4 linked regions of the Caenorhabditis elegans genome follow. The protein of the gene in region 4 purifies or fractionates together with the protein of the main gene of each other region. This does not show direct contact. Each region holds a gene or a part of one and is shown on either strand. Other genes may lie near its edges.

Region 1 (7,631 bases), on a different chromosome or scaffold from region 4:
AATTACTTCACGGAAACAGGAGCGAGACGTTCAATTTCTGGATCTCTAACCAAGCTTGAATTGGACCTGAAAATTGGCGCTTTTTATTGAAAAACTTATTAAAATAAATGCTTAAAATCTCACCCAGGCACACTTCTTTGAGTTTCATCCATTTGTGAGTCGAATTAGTTGTAAAATCTAGAAAATCAGAGAAAGAAAACCGAGAAATGAATTAAAAATCGGAAGGATTTTTTGAATGACCCCGCTTCGCGTTAGAGCGCGCTTGCAACATTCACTTAAAGGCACACATAAGTCGGACGGTGCAGACGGCTGACGTTTTTTGAACAAAATAAGATTTTACCCAGAGAAAAAAAAACAGGGAATAAGAATGATACACGATGGAAATTGAACATGAGAGTCAGGAAAAGAAAAAGGGGAAAACAGTTTAAAATGGACAGTTTACAATTTTACAAGTGGGAGAAATACTTTTGATTCTATTTAAATGCAGCTAAACTATTAAAAAAGAAAAAACAATTGTACAGTTAAAAATCCGCCATTGCCAGCTCGTCGATATCTTCAATGTCATCCGTTGATAGCAGCAAATCGATATTTCCATAAGGATCACGTTGAATGGCCTTGATCTCACGTTCTTTGAGGAGCTCTGAAACACCAAAAATATTGAAAATGACGTAATAAACTATTTAATCTACCAAGAACTGTATAAAATGTGCGAGCGGCTTCTCGTCGAGATGTCGCAGCCAGTGGGATAATCGAATCCAGAGTGACCTCGTAGGGGCATTCACTATTCAGCTTGCTGAAAATAACTGCGTGAATAAATAATACTGTCAGCTGCACGCCCTGCTCAAGTGTTCATAATTATTAGAGTGCGCTCGCGCGGCACCTCACGAACTCCAGAATTCGCGGGATTTCGTTTCGCGGCGGGGACAGTAGTTTTTGGCTATTTTTGGCTTCTACGGAAATTATTTTTAATTTTTAATTTATAATATTGTTGAGAAGCACCAGCCGAATTGAAAATGAATTGAAAATTATGAAAATTGACCGAAAACTGAAGGAGTCACCACGGCTTTCTTTAAAATGTATCAGTACCGTTAGTTTTTCGATTTCAGAGTCGTAAAATATGTCATTTTGTAGAGAAAAGTCTGTTCCACAAAAATCCATGTTTGAAATTTTAATTGTTTGATTTCTAATATGAAAATATTCAAAAAATCAACAATTTTACGTTAAAATCTAATTTTTTCAATTTTTAATAAGAACAATTTTAAAATTTCAAACATGGATTTTTGTGAAACAAACTTTTCTCTACAAAATGACATATTTTACGACTCTGAAATCGAAAAACTGACGGTACTGATACATTTTATTAAGAAAGTCGTGGTGATTTCACCCCTATCTACTTGTTGTCTGTGGCGTCCCGTCTAAATGTTTTCTACATGTTAACTTGTCGTTGTGGAACCGAATAGCAAAACGTTTCCCTAAACTGTTAACTCCAAATGCATTTGCGTCGCGCCTAGGCTCTATCCCATTTGACACCCTCTTCCCCCCAACTTGACCTCCCGGGCTATAGCTGGTCCAATTGGTCATTTTATTTATCTGTCCACACATCTTTTTTATTTTACTTTTTTTCTTTGTCTTCCGGTGTAGCTATTTCTTGTGGCAAATAAACAATTATTATTATTATTCTTGTGTAAAACTTTCACTATGTGATCAAATTTCATAATTTTACACATTTTCAATTCGGATGGTGCTTCTCAACAATATTATCAATTAAAAAATTAAAAATAATTTCCATAGAAGCCAAAAATAGCCAAAAACTGCTGTCCCCGCAGCGAAACGAAATCCCGCGAATTCTGGAGTTCGTGAGGTGCCGCGCGAGCGCGCTCTAATAATTATGAACACTCCAGGAGGCCGTGCAACTGGAGTATTCAGCTCACTGAATAATATTCGCACGGATGGTGAGCGCATCCGCAATGTTTTCAGATATCGGATTTGACCACGTCGGTTTGGAATTCCAGTTTTCTTCCAATAGCGCCGGCTCATCCATCCTGAAACATAAAATTTATCATCAAATTCTCGAAAAACGAAGCTAAAACCTTGGAGAAATCGGATTCACATTCATCGGCTCAAATTGTTCCAATCGTGGAACCTCGAGCTCTTCTCGAAACTCTATTTCTTCCGGTCGATGCGCTGGAGTCATGCTGAAAATTGAAAATTACTCAAATGCTCAAAGCTTGAAGCCTGGTGATTATTTTAAAGGTGGTGTAGTCGATTGTTTTTTTATTGCTTAATAAAAGACTCAAAATTGTCTGAAAACGCCGAATTTCGTAATGAAACTTCTCCAAAAAAAAATAATGGCGGCTCAAAAACTGGCCTAAAATTAGTTAAAATTTGAAATTTGACTTGTCAGCGGCTGGAGACTTTTTTTTTTTGAAATCACCGTCAAATTTTGGGTATCCAATGCAATTATCTTGCTTTTTCAACTCGATTTATGTAGGTATTTTAAAGTCGATGGACGGCGAGATTTGGTTTAAAAAATTCAAAAATCTCACCGTCCATCGACTTTAAAATCCCTTATTCAAGTTGAAAAAGCAAGATAATTGACCTGTACACTCAAAATTTGACGGTGATTTCAAAAAAAAATTGTCTCCAGCTGCTGACAAGTCAAATTTAAAATTTTAACTAATTTTAGGCCATTTTTAGAGTCGTCTTAACTTTTTTTTTTTTGAGAAGTTTCATTATGAAATTCGGTGTGTTCAGAAAATTTTGAGTCTAATATAGCAATAAAAAATTCGACTGCAACACATTTAAATGCGTACATAGGACTTTTTTCCTTCAGTGGAGTCGCCATGAACTTCATCTGTGACAAGTCGATGGTCTCCAAGAGCTCGCGTTCGGCTTCACGTCGATTTCTCCTCTCCGCTTCCTCATCCTCATCTTCAGTATCAGATACATCGTGGCGCCCAATTGTGGAATCAAATTTCCTCGTTTTCACTTTGAACAGATCCCACATGTCTGTATTGCATCCTTTTCGAAGGTAGTACGGGATCGGGTTCAACAGATCTTTTAAATTCATCACTTTGCTTGTCTTCCGACATAGAGGCTCCACGTCTTTGAAGTGAAGACTGGAATAATCTTCCATCAAGTGATGCATGTCTCTCTGGTAAAAAAAAAGGCGTGGAATAATATTGATTTCACATCTTGATCGCCTACTAATGGAATTTTATAATTGATCCCTTCCTCTGCTCCCTCGTTCTCAGCCATTTGGTTTTTTGTAGCACTATGAGGAGCTTTAGGTATTGTTCTTGGAATCAAAACTTCGTCATCTAATTCCAAGATTTCCGAGGCGATACGTGGAACATTCATCTGTTGTGGCGTAAGAAACTCGGTGTTCTGAAAACGAAAAAATTCGAAAAAAAGTTGAAATTCCAGCCGTTGTGAAACGAAAAAATTGGCAAAAATGGAGATTTTAGCTAAAATTTGGTATGTTTTCCGAAATTTTAACACTTTTTTTGTATATTTTGGTTAAGAAATACCGTTTTTTAGGTCATTTTGGGTGTAAAAAATTCAAAATAACATCAAATTCGGAAAAACCACCAAAACAAAAAAAAATGTTAAAAATTAAAAAAAATCCGAATTATTCTGGATTTTTTAAAAAAATTTTTCTTTTAAAGGTGGACTTCATTCAGTGGGGAAATTGCTTTAAAACATGCTTATCGGGTCACAATGACCAAATATCATGATTTAAAAATTCAAAAAAATTTTCTAAATTTTATATGATTTTTTGAAAATTGAAAAAAAAATCTCAGTTTTCCCCTAATTCCTATTTGATTTACCGCCAATTGAATTCGTTCGATAGAGCGTGCTTGCATCATTTTAAATAATTAATTTTATTTATTCTTATTATTTTACTGATTTTTTTTCATTTTTTGTGTCTTTTTATCGGAAAATGAAAGAAATAAACAAAACAAATGCAAAATGTCTATTAAAAATTAACTGAAAATTCGTAAAACAGTGATATTTTGAGTATTTTAACAGTTTTACGCATTTTCAGTTAATTTTTACAGATCATTTTTCATTTGTCTTGTTTATTCCTTTCATTTTCCGATAAAAAGACGCAAAAAACGAAGAAAATCAGTGAAATAATAAGAATAAATAAAATTAATTAATTAAAATGATGCAAGCGCGCTCCATCGAACGAATTCAATTGGCGGTAATTCAAATAGGAATTAGGTGAAAACTGAGATTTTTTCAATTTTCAAAAAATCATATAAAATTTATAATTTTTTTTGAATTTTTTATCATGATATTCGGTCCTTGTGACCCCATAGGCATCTTTTAAAGCAATTCCCCCTAGACATACGATTCCAGAATTCCTCGCTTCCTCCATTTCTTCGTCCATACTCCTTCTCCGCTCAGTTTCGTCTAGCGCGATGGGAAGATGGGCGAATCGAAGAACGTCCTTCAGGTGCGTGGCTGGTTGAAATACTTCTTCCTCTTGTGGTATGGATTTGGTAGGTGTCATGAGCTGGCTTCGGATAAAATCATCAGATGGACGTTGAAAATCAGTCTCCATATTCAGATTCAGATTGTGGACATTTTGACGGGCATCGTTGAAGGAATATCGATCGATAAATGTTCTGAAACACACATCATTATTATATTCATTGCAACTTTTTCCTCACGAGGACGAGGAAAAGTGGTTTCTAGGCCATGGCCGAGGAGCCGACAAGTTTCAGCGGCCATTTATCTTGATGGATTACGGGAATACAAAACCTAAACTTTTTCTGAAACATGATACATATGCTGCTTAGATGCTGAAACTACCTGATTTTCATAACGAAACCGCTGAAAAAGGTTTGAGGTTTTCAAAATTCAACATTTTGTGCCAAAATCTCGACTTTTTTACCAAAAAAGTTGAATTTTGAAAATCTCAAAACTTTTTCAGCGACCTCGTTATGAAAATCAGGTAGTTTCAGCATCTAAGCAGCATATGTATCATGTTTCAAAAAAAAGTTTAGGTTTTGTATTCCCGTAATCCATTATATTGCATTGCCCACTGAATACATTTTTTTACTTGGAAATTGTTTTAGCATCTGCAAAAAGTATTTATTTATCAGTTTCATTAAGAAAAAACGAGAGAAAACAAGCGGAAAACAAAGCAAGATAAATGGCCGCTGAAACTTGTCGGCCCCTCGGCCATGGCCTAGAAACCACATTTCCTCGTCCCTCGTGAGGAAAAAGTTGCAGTGATATTGCGAACATTATAAGGCGAGAATGCTAACTTACAAATCAATCGCCGTGTTCCGATTCTCTGATTCCAACATTCCGTACATCATTTCAAGTTGTTCCATCGTTGGTGCAGCCAAGTCGTCTTCCACGTTAATTTGGTCGTTCTTGTGAACACTGAGAACATCTGGCATTGTAATGTTTTGCCGTAGAGCCACACTCTGTAATAGATTTTTGTTTTAATTCCGATATTCTTGAAGCATTTAGGCTTACAATCGGCGTAGGAGCGAGAGGAAATTCCTCAGCCTGCCTTCTCTTCTTCTTTGGTGTTTTATTAGAGTTGTCTCCTTCCATCTGTTCGCGAGTTTTTCGTTTCCTCTCTTCTTCTTGCGCCATGTACGACGTGAATGCGACGATGTCTCGAGCACGAATTGCATCATCTGTAATATTTTTTTAAAATATTTTTTCTAGAAAGTGATACTTTAAACACTTACGAAGAAGTCGGGCAACTTGTGTACTGAGAACAATGGTGTTTCCGTACACCAAATTACACGCAACAGAGAGAGATCTTCGGTTTTTCTTCTCATTTCTGAGAATCCAGTGAATGAGCTTGCTTGCTTGAAGAACATCGTGTCTGAGGCACTCACGACGATTTGATTGCAATCCGAGTTTTTTGTGGGATCCAAAAACTATTCCTCTGCAAAAAAAACTGTATTAATCTGGCATAAAATATATTTCTTACAATAGGAACTTCACAGTCGCTTCCTCCGACGCTTTTAGCGGCACATCAATGCTTATGACCATGGTGATTGATTTTCTGCAATTTTTAATTGAAAATACGTTCGAAAGAAACGAAAAAAAGGGATAAAAAAGGATATAAAAGTCCCAAAAAAATAATAATAAATCTGAAAATTCTGGCTCGATCACTGCGAGACCATTGCCTACCGTACCATTTCTTTAAAGGCGCACAAATCAAAACAAGCTCTTTCGTGGCAAGACCCATGTGTGCCGCGTAGCTTCGAACCGCGAAATTTCATTTTTTTTCATTTTCAAATCTTTTCTCGCATATTTTACAGTTTTTACAGTTAAAATTACGTGCGAAATGCCTACGAGCGCTGATGACAGCCTCCCTCTGGAAGATTCCGAAGAATGCGATGCCTACATCGCCAAATTTTTACGGCCCCGAAGTGAGTTTTGTGTTGTTTGGCCTAAAATTTCCAATTAAACATTTTTTCAGCACACTTGTTCAGTACGGTCAAGCAGGAGAAACAGCGACGCGAGTCCCATGACAACAAGTACGAAACGGCGGTGCGTAGTAAAGCCATCATGCCGTCACAAGCTTCAAAAGTTTACAGAAAGGAGATGTTTTACTCCACTTCTAGTAAGCTAGCTGATAAAATAAATACTGACTCTAAAATCTACATTTCAGAGTGTGATTCGCGATTCATCAACAATTTGCACACGTTCAACACTTTCGACGGAGGCAGTGGTTATAGCGAAGCCTCGCCGCACTATGCGATGGATTTTGTTGTTCGTTTTCGAAAATTTTAGGCGATAAAATTGTTTAATGATAATATTTTTTTATTTTCAGAAAAACAAAGGATTCGCTGATGACGAAATGGCCGGGCATTTGAAGAGTCTTGAGGTTTCAAGGAAAATGACTGAAAACGTCAAATGGCTCAATGATAATCGCAACGACTTGAAGACCGCACTCAGAAGGTCGAATTCGTGTCCAGAATTCCCCATCGACAGGGATCGCGAGAAAATTACGACATTACGAAGGAATGAAAAGAGAAATGAGGTTTTTTTTTTGGAAAATTAAATATAATTCGATTTCCAGAACGCCAAAATTTCGAATTTCGACGCCTCATTTGTTCCGGAGCTCTGCTGCTCAGATGACTATCCTTCGATTCTCTGTTCAATTGCGACTGCATTCAAAACCGTTGTCTCACGTGTCAACGCCCAATCAATCGGAAGCGGCGAGCTGAAAATCGCAAAAGTTCTGTGCTCTACTGAAGATCTGTTCGCATATGTGATCCCTAAACGATTCAATACCCGCGATGCTTTGTTTGCCTTTTCGAATCAATTCAGAGCGTGGCTCGAATACAAGCCTAATGTCCAGCTTTACACTCACTATCGCTTCATAAACGTGATACTGTATCTCGAAGAGTTTAAGCACGAGAGAACGGAATTCCGAAGGGCACGCCATGTCTGCAATCTGAAAAGCCGCAGAAATCATGGATTATTTCTGGAGTTGGATACGGGAATGCTACGTGTGGTGGAAATTACGCCGGAAAAAGTCAGATTTTTAGCGAATTCCTGGGCTCATAATCCGTCAGCGATTGTCGAGGTTCGATTCGACGGGGTGAAGGTGAAAATTTAGATTTTTTTTTTTCGAGACAGATATT
Region 2 (3,431 bases), on a different chromosome or scaffold from region 4:
CTAAAATCCCAAAATTTCCCGCGCAAAATGAAATAAAGTACTGTAGAATTTTAAGGCGCATTTCGACGTTAAGCCTATAGGTCTCGCCACGATTGATAAATTTTGGCACAGAATACGAAAAATTCTTGTTTTAAGCGTATTTGAGCGCTATTTTTTTGTTAAATCAAAGAACAAAATTAAATATAATAATAGAATATTTTCAACTGCAACGCGGATTCATGACCCGAATCAGTGGCGCGGGCATCTACAAACTTCAAGAACTCAGTTCCACGACTTATGGTTACGATCTCGGGTTGACTGCAGAATTAGCAGAAGCTAGTAGTTATGATTATGAGCTCATGAAGCATGTCCGGTTCCTGGTGCTTATTGCAGAAAATTTTTAGATTTAAATGCCAAAAGATATTCGGAGCGGGACTCAGCAAAAGAATACGAATCCTTCATACAATTAGATCGGCCAATTGATGGAAACTATGGAATACATTCAAGTATCCTGAAACTGGGACGTGGGAAAAATTCTAACAACACCAGTCAATTTATTTACGAATGACTGTAATTTTAAAAAGAAAACCAAGGATACAAAATGGAGCAAAAAGGAAAATAAAACTCTAGACAATAAAACATTGTACATGATGATATAGAACATGCCATGTTACAGGATAAAGCTGTAAACTAATGAACACAACGAGAAAAATTATTTACGGGAGCGAGAGTATGGAGAAGATCTGGTTTTGCTGTCATCGGCTCCTCTGCGAGTAGTTGGTCTCATCTTGATAGGCGACATTTGTGTTTTCTCGAGAGAATCCTACAAATTGAAACTGTTTGTTAATGTGTACAACACTATTTAATCTAACGGTTATATTATCAACCGGAGACGTCACGTTTCCTCCTTGATCGTTGGCAGATTCAGTAGTATCCTGACTAAGACCTGGGTCGGTGTCCTCCGAATTGAACGATTTATACAGCACATTCACTGGATTGAATGCATACATATCGGAAACTTTGTCCAGATGTCCCTTGAGAGTCAACTCTGCTGCGTATGAATCGGACATCGACTTGCTCCAGCATTGCATGTGTGCAGCGTGGTGTCCCGGGCGTAAGTGACCAATGGTGACCGATTGGATACCATCAGGAAGTGTGTAAAAAGTGGAAGAATCGTCGAAGCCATCGATGCGGAAATTGGATGGAGCATCGTTTGTGTACTTCAATCGAAAATTAGCCGTGAATTCTGCTGGCAACGGTTCGAGAACTTTCGTGCAGAGGAACTGAACACTGCGAACAATCGTCACCATTTGATCCCGTACACTTTCGGCACCCTCATATCGAAGTTGAGCAAGCTCCGCGAAGTGAGGATCTTCCTGGTCATTGTTGTCAGTGCTCAGACGAGCAACCACGCCGCCATTCTCAAAATAAATGAACTTCATAGAGAACACTTCGATGGCTTCAACATCTCCGTCATGCTCGGTCACCACGAGGGAGATTTCTTTCAGAAACCCATCCTTTGTGGCATCCCCGGCGGCTCGAAGTAGTTGAGCGATTTGGTGAGCCCGTAGGTTTTTGAAGCTCAGCGTCATGCAACTCAGATTTTCTGGAAAAAAACATTTACAATACAATGTGATAAGAAAAACAATTACCAGTGATGTAATTCTTCGAGAAATATTCTTTTTCGAGAATGTTACGTTGCCTGAGAACAGCCGAAAACACGACGTAGATTGCCCTGATCATAAAATTGGACGATCGATCCGGGTCGCTGACAATGCTTGGGAAAAGTTTGGACCATGTCTAAAATTAAAAAAATTAAAATAAGCATAAAACCATGAAACAAACTTTATCATCAATGGCATCCTTCGATTTGTTGAGCGACTCGTTGTAGTTATTTTCCAAAGGCGCCATCTGCAAAAAACAATTTGAAGACATTTTTAGGGCAAAGTTTAATTTTTGAATTCAAAAAAAAGAATGCAGATGATGCGTAATTAAAGGTACATCGGATTGGTGCAACCCATTGGTCTCACCACGCAATTACAAAAGCTGAAAATTATTCAAATAATTTTTGACTAAATGCAGCTTTTCTTTTCATTTTAAAGTAAATTTTTTATTCATTTCAAAACTGGCAATAAGTTTATTTGCTAGAAGTAGTTTTAGAAAGTAATATGTTTTAAAAATACGCAAATGCAAGTGAAATTCGCGAACCCGTGGTGATACCTAAATTTAGTTTACTGACTGCGCCTTTGATTACTGTAGCCTGTTTGCTTGGTTTCGAAACGTTTTGAATTCTCATTTTTTGTGCGAATTCACCTAATTTTTCTCCTATTAAGCTCAAAAAACGTTTTCCATTGTTTTCAGATGCCAAACTATCGAGGACGTCATCAAACGAGACAGAATTGGAGTTCTAAGCCAAGAGAAGAGCACTCCCCGAGGTATTTGAAATTAACAAAATGCCATTTTTTCGAGTACTTTCCTTTCAGCAAAGGCACATACACGGACAAAATCCGGAGCGTTCCAGTCAGTGAGGTCGTCAGGCAACAAACGTATGAAACTAATTTTTGAATGCTCCTAATTGATTCATTCTTCAGGGTGAACGACTGGGTGACTACAGGTGCTTATTCGCTTGGATCGCCAGACTCGTGGCCATCTTATCCGGACGAAATCATAGTGAGTGTCACAGTACAACGAAAAGATCTCATTTTTCTTGTTTTAGCTGATGAACGAGTCCCGAAATGCTCAGACATCCCGCAATTCGCGTCGGTCGGCTACTCCCGGTCCAGTGAGTTTATTTTCTTCATATTTTCGTTACGAGACTGATCTTGGTTTCAGAGATTGCCACAAGATAGAAGGACAAGAACTACAGCACCCACCGTTGCGCCGATTCCGTTCCAGAGGGCACAGCCTCGAATAGAAGTGGAGAGGCAAAGAATCAACGAGCCTGTCGCACAGGACCTGATTATCGATAATGAGGTACCAGAAAAGTTTCATCGATTATTAGTTGTAATGTATTTTTGTAGAACGGTACCAACAACTCCAACGATTCGAGTATCTGTGGCATTATGGAGGAATTCGAGGAGCTCGTATATCCACAGTGAGTATCTAAATCAATGAATTAACTCTGAAATCTCTTTTTCCAGATGGGTTTACTATCTGTACCCATTGATTCCCACCGCGCCCAACTGCAACAACGAGAAGTCGTACAAAGAAGGTTCCAATTGGTACATCTCTCCATGAATGATCTCCCTCTTCAGCTTCTCTCAATCTGTCATATTTCTTATGCCTGCGTGGCTCCTCATTCTTTCTCATATTGTCAGTCCCATCATACCCGTAATCAAACCCCCCCTCATTCAATTTTCTCTGTACCGGTTAAGAAGTTCTAACATTGTATTTTCCATGATTCTATATCAGGAGCTGTTTTCCCATTATTAATCCATAATATGATCGAAAGT
Region 3 (4,551 bases), on a different chromosome or scaffold from region 4:
ATCAATAAAAGTGAGAATTTAAAAAGTGACTTCGATCGGAAATGGGAAACCGTTGATCACAATTAGAACTACTAAAAATTTTAGGATTGAGCGAAAACATTGCTCAGCTTTAAAAAATGAGGAAAATTGATATTTCATAAACCAGCAGCAGTGATTAGATTGTTTGAAGAGACGCAGGAAAATCGCGGGCAAAACGCTCTGCTCGCCAAAGTTGGGTCTCGTTAGGTATTTGGCGGGAAAACCTCGAAATTTAATATTGGAGCGCGTTTCCACGTAGATTTAAAAAAGATACATTTTTCTGCTTTGGGTCTCGCAACGATTTTGAGAAAAGTCAGCTTTCTAGATGAGCTAGAATTTGTCTAGTCAAGAAATAACAAACGAAGCAGCAAGATGTGGCAAAATTAGTTTTTTTTTCGAAATTCCCGCTACAACTCACGATATTATCGTAGTTCTTGGGAAAAATGTCAGAAAGAACAGTGCTTTGAGCTAGAGAACTCGAACTTGCTCGAGATAAATGCTGAAAAAGAGAAAAACGGGAATGGATGACGAATGGAATTTTCACACGCACAAATTTACTGTTTTCTTGTTTTCTACACTTTTTGTGATCAGTTTCCATATCACTCATCTCCACTTCATCGTCTTGTTTCCGTTTACAAACCTTTGTTTTTTGATCGGACTTCAGTCGATTCATTGTGTAGACGTAGTGGTTAGCCTGGAAAATTCATTGTTTTAGTGATTTTAAAATTAAATCTGCGTAATTTCGAAATTGTTAAACGACAAAAAAGATACAACTTTTCGAAACAAAACTGATAAGCAATGCAGTTAATAATTTCAAAAAATAAAGCAATTTAATAACGCAAAGAGAAGAGGGAAGGAAGAAGAAACGAACAACAACGCGGTCGATTAACGAATCAATAGAAAAATACGGGAAAAACTATAAAATGGTGAGCGATAGAGGAAACCACGAGAAAACGCTGCAATGTAATGCAGATGTGACGTCATACACTTTGTTTAGCGGGAAACGGAGTGTCGTATTGATTTCGATTAACGTCGGCGTCTCTCGAAAAGAAAACTGAAGAAAATCAACATAATTTTGAATTCCATTGAAAAGGAATATATTAGAGATAATATTTACTACAGCATCGCTCATTTAAAAAACATTTTTCTGTAACAGAAAGTGAAGTTTTATTGAATTTGTATTATTTTCAATGATTGCAAAGTTTTTTACATATTTTAATATGTATATACAATTTAAAACATGACAATTTTAATTGAGAAAAGCGGAACATTTAAATAATTATACAAAATTGAGAGAAAGCGTGAAAAAGCATTTGAAACAAATTTTGGCGCGCGCTTGAAACATTTAAATCTCGGCGAGACCCGTTTGTTCCCACTGCCCATGCTCCTTTAATACAGTATCTCACACTATTTTCAATTTAATTTCTTTTCTATTTCTCCATTTTCTCCATTTTTTCGACAATTTTTATTGAATTTTTGCTTCCAATTTCAGTAAAATGAGCGGTGATGTGGATTACCCGCAAGGATGTCTTCCAATTCTTAACTCAAATAATGTGACACAACAAATTGAACGCTTACGAGTGAGTTTCAGAAATTTCAACAAAAAAACAACTTATTTTGAATCTAAATTGATGCCTTTAAAGAAGTTGAATATGAGAAATGAATTATTTTTTGATGAAAAGAACGTTAAAAGAAATGATTAAACATTATTTAAAAAAATATATAATTTTCAGAAACTATTTAACTGTCTCCATGACTGCAAAACAAACAATAGCGAAGAAGTATCGTCTCCGAATCGATTCGCAAGGCTTTTCCAACATTTATCACAAGAATGCTTCCTTGACAATTCAAATACAGATTTTCGGATCCTTCTTTCACTTTGTCTCGCGAATATTCTGCGAATCTTCCAGCCAGAGCTACCGACGCCAAGTGTAATGGATTTAAAGGTTAGAATTCAAGTAAATTATTGATTTTTAATGAAATTTTCTGTTTCAGGAGGTTTATATCTACCTTTTCCGTACCATGCGAGGACTCGGAGACGTTACTCAGGATAGTCCGAAGTTTAAAAATTACTTCTCGTTGGTTGAGGTTTGCTGTAGAAATTCTAGCACCAAAAAATAATTATTTATATTCAGACAATGGAGAAAATCATTCCACCAATCATCGAAATGAAGGATCACGATGATAAAGAAGCAACTCCGGTGTTCCGAGCGTTGATCAAGGATATTCTGGCGATTCCGTGTGGAAAAGGATGGAATCAGAATCTGAAAAAAGAAGCGCGACTTTTGAAAATTCAAGAAAATGACGATGATTCAATGAATGATGACGAAGAAGATGAGAATGCCGCCGAAAAAATTCGGAAATCTTTAATTCAAATTGCAACGACAGTGATTACTAATTTGGATTTTGTTCAGAACGAGTGCCTTGATGTTTTGTTTTATCATATTATTAATCCACAGAGAGTAAGTTTTGTGGAATTAAATAGGGAATTAGCGTTGAAAACAAAAAATAGCCCCAGAATATTTAAATTTATGAATATGTCCCTTGAAATCGGCCGAAAATTTTAAAAAATCATTTTTTTTCCCTATTCCGCGTATTTTGTCGTTTATTCTAATGCTTATTTTGTTGATTTGCATATTTTCATGTCTACAAGAAAATTTTTTTCAAAATTTTCAAATTATGGATTCCGTCTGATCGAAAAGTGCGTGAATCAACAAAAACAGAAGGAATAAACGACAAAAACTTGCGAAATGTACAATTAATTTCATAAAAAATACCATCTTTTAATCACTACGACACGAAAATAACGGCGTAATTTAAGGTTGTAACTGAATTTAGAATTTATTGCAATTATTGAATGATTTTTCAAAAACCGTTATTTAAAGTTTTTGGAAAAAAAATTTTAATGCAAAACTATGAGAAAAGTATGAAAAATTCTCTTATAGAATACCCTTTCAGAATATATTTCCAACAAAAAACTTCAATTTCAGAGCAATTTCGCAGAAGCACGTGCACTGGCAGAAGATATCATCCGATCCTGCAGTGATAATGAGTCAGACACTTTAGCAAATTCCATTCGAAGTACAATGACAGCAGCCGCAAAAGAAGGGAAACTTCCAGAAGAATTCGAGTTAACTGGTTCCAGTAATCGAAGTAAATTCTTTGAAGTACTCCGTTATCTTCACTACGTATCATTTGATTTGGTGTCTGGCGCTATTCAAGAACTCAAATTTTGGCTTCAGGTAGGACAATTGAAAAAAGGAACTTAGTAGAGTACTCATCAAATCATTTTTCAGTCAGAAAATGAGCAGTACCGAAAAGAAGCAGTGACAGTCGTTGGAATGTTGACACGTGACAAACATTGTCAATTCGGAATGGATTCAAATGATCCAACATGGAGTGCTTTTTTGAATGCGTTAGTTTTTTAATTGTAATTAAATTATTTTGTCGAATTTTTTGTGATTTTTTTCAGGTCTATCGATCAAGATGATAGTGTTCGACACGAATTTGTGCAACAATCGAAAGATATTCTAATTTCGAATCATTCACATCTCAGGGGACAGATTATTAGTAGGTTTTCGTGAAATAAAAACTATTTTTTCTCATATTGGATAAAAGCTAAAATTGAATTTTCACGGTTTTGAAAGTTGGTTTTTTAAAAAATGTTTTTTCATGTTTTTTAGTGAAATTTTCCAAATTCAAGAAAATTTTGAATTTTTCTAAAGTAAAATCCCCATTTTCAGATAGCCTGCTACGTCTCTCCGTTGATTTAAATGACGATATTCGACGAGATGTTGTAACTGGAGTTACTGAAGTGGCAAAAACGAAATTAGAAGTTATTAGTGATAAAATGCTAAAGGCCTGTGCCGAGCGGATGAAGGATAAAAAGGTTTTTTATATTAAAAAATCTAATTAAAAAAGCGAAAACCCTAAAAATTCCAGCCAAAAGTCCGAATTCAAGCGATCAAACGTCTAATGGATCTTTATAATCATGTGATGACGTCATCACCTCAACCATTTTTCTCAAAAGATGGAAGTTGTGCACCAAAAGATTCAAAAGAAGCGACATTATCATATACTGAATCAGAAAAAGAATCAGTTCGATTCATTTCAACGGCAGTTTTTAATGTTTATAGATTGACACAAAGATTGCCAGCTTATCACGATGCAAGAGCAATTATCGAAAGATATTTCCAATTATATCTTGTTCCGTACAAAGTTGAACCAAAATTGAGAGTTCGATTAATGGCGGATTTATTCAGAAATCTTGATGATATTGGATGCATGTACGTTGATATTTTTAGAATTTCTAAAAAAAATTTCGTTCTAAAACTATCGAAAATAATTCTAACAGTGAAAAAATGGGTTTTTACGGGATTTTTTTTGTTGCAAAAACTAATCCGAATTAATTTTGAATTGCCTAAAGAAGGAAGTTTTCGATTTTTCTATTATCCGAAAAAATCAATATTTCATCAAATTTTGTTTATCTCGATGAGAAAAAAACATAAGAAAACATTAAATTTTATTCTAAAA
Region 4 (5,015 bases):
TTGTGTAGTCGATTGGAACATCTACATGTCCGAGCGATTTCTGCTTAATCCTTTCGCGAATTTCCTTCATCAGTTTGGAGTCTCTTTCCTGCTTTTTTGAATTTGCGACATTATTCAGGAACTTGATGGAAGACTCGTGAGCATTGAATGTGGATTGGAAGAAGACGAGATGGCTGAAAAATATTCTTAATCAATATATATGGTTTTAAAATACTCACGTAAATGGTTCCTGCCATAATAATTCGTCCGGATATTTGATGTCGTTCTTGTCAATAAATCCTGAATGTTGATTTTGAATTGAAGATCGACTGTATCCATGAACGGACTTTGGAGCACTGAAAACATAATATTTATTCATGATATTTCTCTTAACAATTACTTGTAGCTCGCGATCTTCTCCGAAAAAGGGTTCATATTTAGTTCGACGGCCTGTGCCACTTGCTCTTTAGAGTTTCTTGTTTGGTAGAAAGAAAATGAATGCGAAATAATATCCGCTTCATCCTCATCGGAATTGATTTCGTCTCTTTTTGTTGATCTGATTCCGATACCCATCCTTCTCATTGCTTTCCAATCGACTTCAGGATCGTCTTGTTTGATGTCACTTGTCAAAGACTGAAAAATTATTGCAAATATTTAAATTATAAATTCTTACACACCTTCAGAGTCAATCCTTGCTCAGCAAAAGTGTCACAGGTGTAATCATCTGCAAGTTCCAGGTCCGGTCTCTTGATGCGACGTCTTTTAGGGACTCCTTGAGGTCTGGTCTGCAAGAAATCATTTCTAAATTTCAACAACTAGCATTAAAATCCCACCATTTTTCTTCTATACAGTCGCCTTCTTCGTTGCTTCGGCATCGCTTGTGGTTCGTACTCACAAACCACGTCTTCAGTGTCTGAGACTTCCCCATCTAACGCTTTCTTTTTCTTTTTGAGAATCCTGTCGTTCTTCAACCCACGAGCAATTTTCTGCTCTAATTCTCGGACAATCTTAAAGAAGTTAAATCGATAAAAATTTTTTAAAAGGCAGCATACGCGTTCATCCGGTCGCTCGCCTTCGGAACTTTCTGCAGCATCCACCATCGAACTCTTGTGAGTCTCCACAACGTATTCATCATCACTCTCCTCGTCGCTGCTGCTACTGTGATCATCGTCGTATTCATTTTCTGAAAAACTCTTGTTGTCAGTGCCATCTGCCGATGCGGGCGGTACTTCGATCTCCAACGGATCCTCTACAATTTCTGTTTCAGGAATTCGTGATTTCTTCTCGGGCTGGTTCACTCCCGAAGATTCCGCATTTGCTCTTTTTGATGCGCTTCTCGTCGTCGGTTTCATCTGAAATTAATGTCTCATTATTAAATATAGAAGCTTAAAAACACAATAAATGAATAAGTAAAAAACGTTTATTTAAATTTTAAGTGCTTTCATCTGTTCTTTGCACATTTCAAAGCGGTTTCTAGACTCAAAATACATAGAGATATGCTCAGATTTTAATAAACTACAATTTTAAAACTTCAAAATATGAGAAATTCTCTTGAAAGTGCATTTTAAGTAGAAAATGAACGGAAAAAAATTGAAATATAAAAGAAAAAACTTAAAGGTGCATGACATTTCTTCCATGGGTCTCGACACGAGAACACAACATGTTGACCTGAGTTACGGTAAACTTCGGTTGAAATTAGTTATTTTATGTCAAATTATTCATTTATTTTTCAGTTTTTTCTCATTTTCAATTAGTTTTTAATTAAAAAAAATGTTTTAAAATATTTTAAGTGTCAAAATGGACGAAAGCTTCGACTCTTCTGTTGTCCCTGGCTCTCTGACGAGTGATGACAGGGTGAGTAGATTTGACAGAGTTTTTTTTGTCGAGAAAACGAAAATTTTCAGGCTATATTCAACGAGCAAACATTGAAAAATGGTGATGAAAATTCGAAAAGCTCTCTTGAAGTGATGGCCAACTGCGTTTATCTTGCAAACTCAACAATTCTCCGTGAACGGAAAGTTATTCCTGCGGAATACTTCCAGGATTTTCAAGTTTATGGTGAGGTTTTATCTATCTGACTTGCAATTAAGCATGAATTATTTTATAGGAGATGTCAGCGGATATACTTTGCGACAAGACATTCCAGAAGGACGGAGTGTGTCTTCGAAGCTTTTGGCGTCTCATGACGCGATCCGTCAGAAACTCCTTCAGGTACAGTTTTACTCTCGTAAGTGGTAAAAATTCATTGTTTGCAGAAACTCGCTATTGTCGTTGAAGAGTCACTAAACACGAATCCCGTGGAAACGTTTGTCTGGACCTTTGTCTATGACTCAACCACATCTGCAAGTGCCGAAATCGGATACGGAGGGTTAGATCATTTATCTAAATATAAATTTCACTGACTCTTTTCCAGGCGTAAATCTAAATTTGTGGTGAATTATTTAAACATGGATGATACTGCTCAACAGTTTTGCAAGATGTTCAGCGAGCTTAGAAATGTTCTAAGCCTGCTCCGTCCGCTACCAAGAGGCCTCATTCCATCGATGAAAGTAGCATACAGAGGAGGTAAGGTTAAAAATATTTAATTTAAATCATAAATAAATTATTGTTTTAGAACCGGAATTCGTTCCCGGATTTCAACAAGTCGACGATTTTGTGAATCCTGAGCAGATCAATCTTGGTGCTGTTAGTTTTCCTCACGGCAATGGGTTTGTTCGTCATTTCAATCATCAAATTCTTAATTAAATTGATTCAGATTTCAATTCGCATATGCCTCGAAATTCATGGTTGAACAGCCTTCAGCCATTCGTCCACCAGTGGAAGTTTCTCATTTTGAAGATGATTTGCTCAACTCAACGATCACACCGATCGAAGTTGTTCGAGATAACACAATGAATTGTGCTGAGAATCCTGAACTTGACGAAATCTATTTTTCACCAGGTGCGTTTTGTCGAGAAAAAAAATTAATTTTCTAATGTTTATAGGTCGTCAAGAAGTACGTATGGACGAAGATGTGGCAAACGAATCAATTCGTTGTAATCCAAGTATGGCCAGTGAAATGATGGTTCTGCAGTCCGAATATAATGTATTGATTGCTGATAATGATGAAGTTCCAATGGTTGTTGAAAGGGAACGTTCTCCAATAGTGAAAGCTGCAAAGAAACGTTCAACGAGAGCTCCCGCTGTCCCGATAACTCCAACGGAACCGGCTTCTCCCGTGGAGTCCCCGGTGAAAGAGCAACCTCAAAAAGCGCCAAAAGCTCAGATGAGACGTTCCAGTAAACGCACCACGAAGAACAATGAACGATGCGAACAGAAAGAAGAAGAACCAATAGTGAACCCAAAAAGGGTAATTATTTTTATTGTTATAATAAAAATGTTAAGTTCAATAATTTACAGAGAAGTGCTCGTCGGCTTGTACCTCCAGTTGAAGTCGATGAACAGCCAGAAGAACAAAATGATGATGATGCTCAGAATTCTCTTCAAATTGACTCTGATGCTCAGAATTCTCTTCAAATTGACTCTGATGCTATTATCACCTCTCCCGAGAAGAGAAATGAATCAAAGTCTGCAATACCTGAGGAAGCTGCGGATCTAGATAATACTACATCTGAGAAGCAGGAGAGCTCAACAGCAAGATATGGCGTTTCAAATACTTCTATTAACAGGAAAAAACCAGACCCAGTTGCAAATCCGGTTTCGGAAGAGGCTCAGGTAGATTTGGCGAACGGTAGTATCCCGGATAAAAGACCACGGAAGAGAAAATATGGACGAGTGTCGAGTATTCTCGACGTCGCTGATCTGCCAACTGACGATACAGTGGAGGAAGACGTTCGTGAAAGTCCCATCTACGGTCGTGTACCAAGTATATTGGATGTAGCAAGGGCTGAGGAGAACGATGCTCAAAATGATGCTCAAGATGCTCAAAATGAAATTGCTGTTGAGGGACTTGCCGACTTATCAATTGACACCGAGCAGCATGAAGAAGCAGCTCCAATTAATGTTACTGGTCATCAATCGGAGAGCGTTCCAATCATTGTGACGGAGCATCAGTCTGAAGAAGCTCAAACGGTTGTCACGGAGCAACCAGCAGGAGCAGCTTCAGTTATTGCTGCGGAGAGACACTACGGCCGAGTTTCGAGTATTCTCGATGTAGCTGGTTCGTTCGCTGACGTAGATCCATCAGGTGCCGCTCCAGCTATTGCCACAGAGAGACACTACGGCCGAGTTTCGAGTATTCTTGATGTAGCTGGTTCGTTAAGTGACGTAGATCCACAGGAAGATACCGAAAGCTCCACTCAAAACCAATCGACTTCCAAGAAATTCAAACCAAACCCTCCAAAGGCAATGAGGTACGGCCAGTCGCCGAACATGCCAAGTAGAAGAGGAAACTGAACGATTTCTGGACAATCGTGTACAATTATCAATCTGTTCCATTTTTTTGTTGTTTCTTCGATTTCCTTTTTAATAGTTGGACAAATGCCTTAGTTTTCGAATGAATTTTTTAAATATTAATTTTCATATCCGATGATGATGGGAATTTGTTAAAATACAAAATATTACTTGCATGTGATGAAATATTTAGAGCTATTCAAGTATTTTCCAGCGTTTCAGAATTCTTTCGTTGGCGTTCTTTTTTGAACATAGCGCCGTTTTCTTTCTCAAAGGAGCGCGGTGACATACACTTGTTTCCCTTTTTTCAGTGGCCGTTCGCTCTTTACTCTAATCGATTTCACTTTGGCATTCTGTTCTTATTCCAGCTAAAGTTTTTAAGAATTGTGTTTTTTTAATGAATTTCTCTTTTTGGGTTCTATTTAGTTCGCCACATTTTGAAAAAAATCAACGTTTTTCAGGATAAATGACATCATTAATCGATTCGAGGGTGCTCTACGAGAGTGATTTTTCCATTTTCAACGGTCGACTATGTTCTCTACGCATATCAGCTGTTACCAATAATGAAGAGGGTATTGAAAAAGTGAGATTAATTGGAGATATATTGATTTTTAAATAAAAATAATTAATTTTCAGATTCGAAT

Evidence for each region.
Region 1: the proteins of htp-3 (region 4) and coh-4 purify together in Caenorhabditis elegans (affinity purification with mass spectrometry, with the first as the bait; one study listed by BioGRID). This does not show direct contact.
Region 2: the proteins of htp-3 (region 4) and htp-2 purify together in Caenorhabditis elegans (affinity purification with western blotting; 2 studies listed by BioGRID, with this or other methods). This does not show direct contact.
Region 3: the proteins of htp-3 (region 4) and evl-14 purify together in Caenorhabditis elegans (affinity purification with mass spectrometry, with the first as the bait; one study listed by BioGRID). This does not show direct contact.

What each region holds. Positions count from the first base shown.
Region 1 is NC_003283.11:4,169,599-4,177,229, forward strand, and holds coh-4 (Rad21/Rec8-like protein C-terminal eukaryotic domain-containing protein), read right to left. Parts: upstream 6,043-7,631; 5' UTR 6,028-6,042; coding exon 5,966-6,027; intron 5,921-5,965; coding exon 5,718-5,920; intron 5,664-5,717; coding exon 5,497-5,663; intron 5,445-5,496; coding exon 5,284-5,444; intron 4,635-5,283; coding exon 4,358-4,634; intron 3,388-4,357; coding exon 3,208-3,387; intron 3,155-3,207; coding exon 2,814-3,154; intron 2,196-2,813; coding exon 2,091-2,195; intron 2,043-2,090; coding exon 1,932-2,042; intron 794-1,931; coding exon 690-793; intron 641-689; coding exon 522-640; 3' UTR 314-521; downstream 1-313. Other genes in the region: Y45G5AM.7 (Cilia- and flagella-associated protein 157), read right to left, coding at 7-66, 124-152; Protein pid-5, read left to right, coding at 6,326-6,410, 6,461-6,604, 6,653-6,753, 6,815-7,024, 7,064-7,594.
Region 2 is NC_003282.8:6,417,988-6,421,418, reverse strand, and holds htp-2 (HORMA domain-containing protein), read right to left. Parts: upstream 1,898-3,431; 5' UTR 1,891-1,897; coding exon 1,825-1,890; intron 1,780-1,824; coding exon 1,632-1,779; intron 1,586-1,631; coding exon 852-1,585; intron 803-851; coding exon 692-802; 3' UTR 521-691; downstream 1-520. Other genes in the region: Y73B6BL.23 (uncharacterized protein), read left to right, coding at 2,341-2,414, 2,463-2,525, 2,571-2,649, 2,696-2,761, 2,812-2,952, 3,000-3,073, 3,120-3,216.
Region 3 is NC_003281.10:4,310,088-4,314,638, reverse strand, and holds the start of evl-14 (Cnd1 domain-containing protein), read left to right. Parts: upstream 1-1,510; 5' UTR 1,511-1,514; coding exon 1,515-1,598; intron 1,599-1,751; coding exon 1,752-1,964; intron 1,965-2,013; coding exon 2,014-2,106; intron 2,107-2,153; coding exon 2,154-2,480; intron 2,481-3,008; coding exon 3,009-3,260; intron 3,261-3,314; coding exon 3,315-3,433; intron 3,434-3,490; coding exon 3,491-3,588; intron 3,589-3,761; coding exon 3,762-3,907; intron 3,908-3,960; coding exon 3,961-4,304; intron 4,305-4,551. Other genes in the region: dcn-1 (Defective in cullin neddylation protein 1), read right to left, coding at 659-691.
Region 4 is NC_003279.8:4,825,303-4,830,317, forward strand, and holds htp-3 (HORMA domain-containing protein), read left to right. Parts: upstream 1-1,769; 5' UTR 1,770-1,776; coding exon 1,777-1,833; intron 1,834-1,883; coding exon 1,884-2,037; intron 2,038-2,086; coding exon 2,087-2,190; intron 2,191-2,234; coding exon 2,235-2,347; intron 2,348-2,392; coding exon 2,393-2,544; intron 2,545-2,593; coding exon 2,594-2,687; intron 2,688-2,734; coding exon 2,735-2,919; intron 2,920-2,963; coding exon 2,964-3,328; intron 3,329-3,378; coding exon 3,379-4,374; 3' UTR 4,375-4,494; downstream 4,495-5,015. Other genes in the region: tofu-4 (Twenty One u-rna (21U-RNA) biogenesis Fouled Up), read right to left, coding at 1-173, 219-335, 380-612, 657-764, 813-986, 1,032-1,331; F57C9.4 (C2H2-type domain-containing protein), read left to right, coding at 4,838-4,954, 5,008-5,015.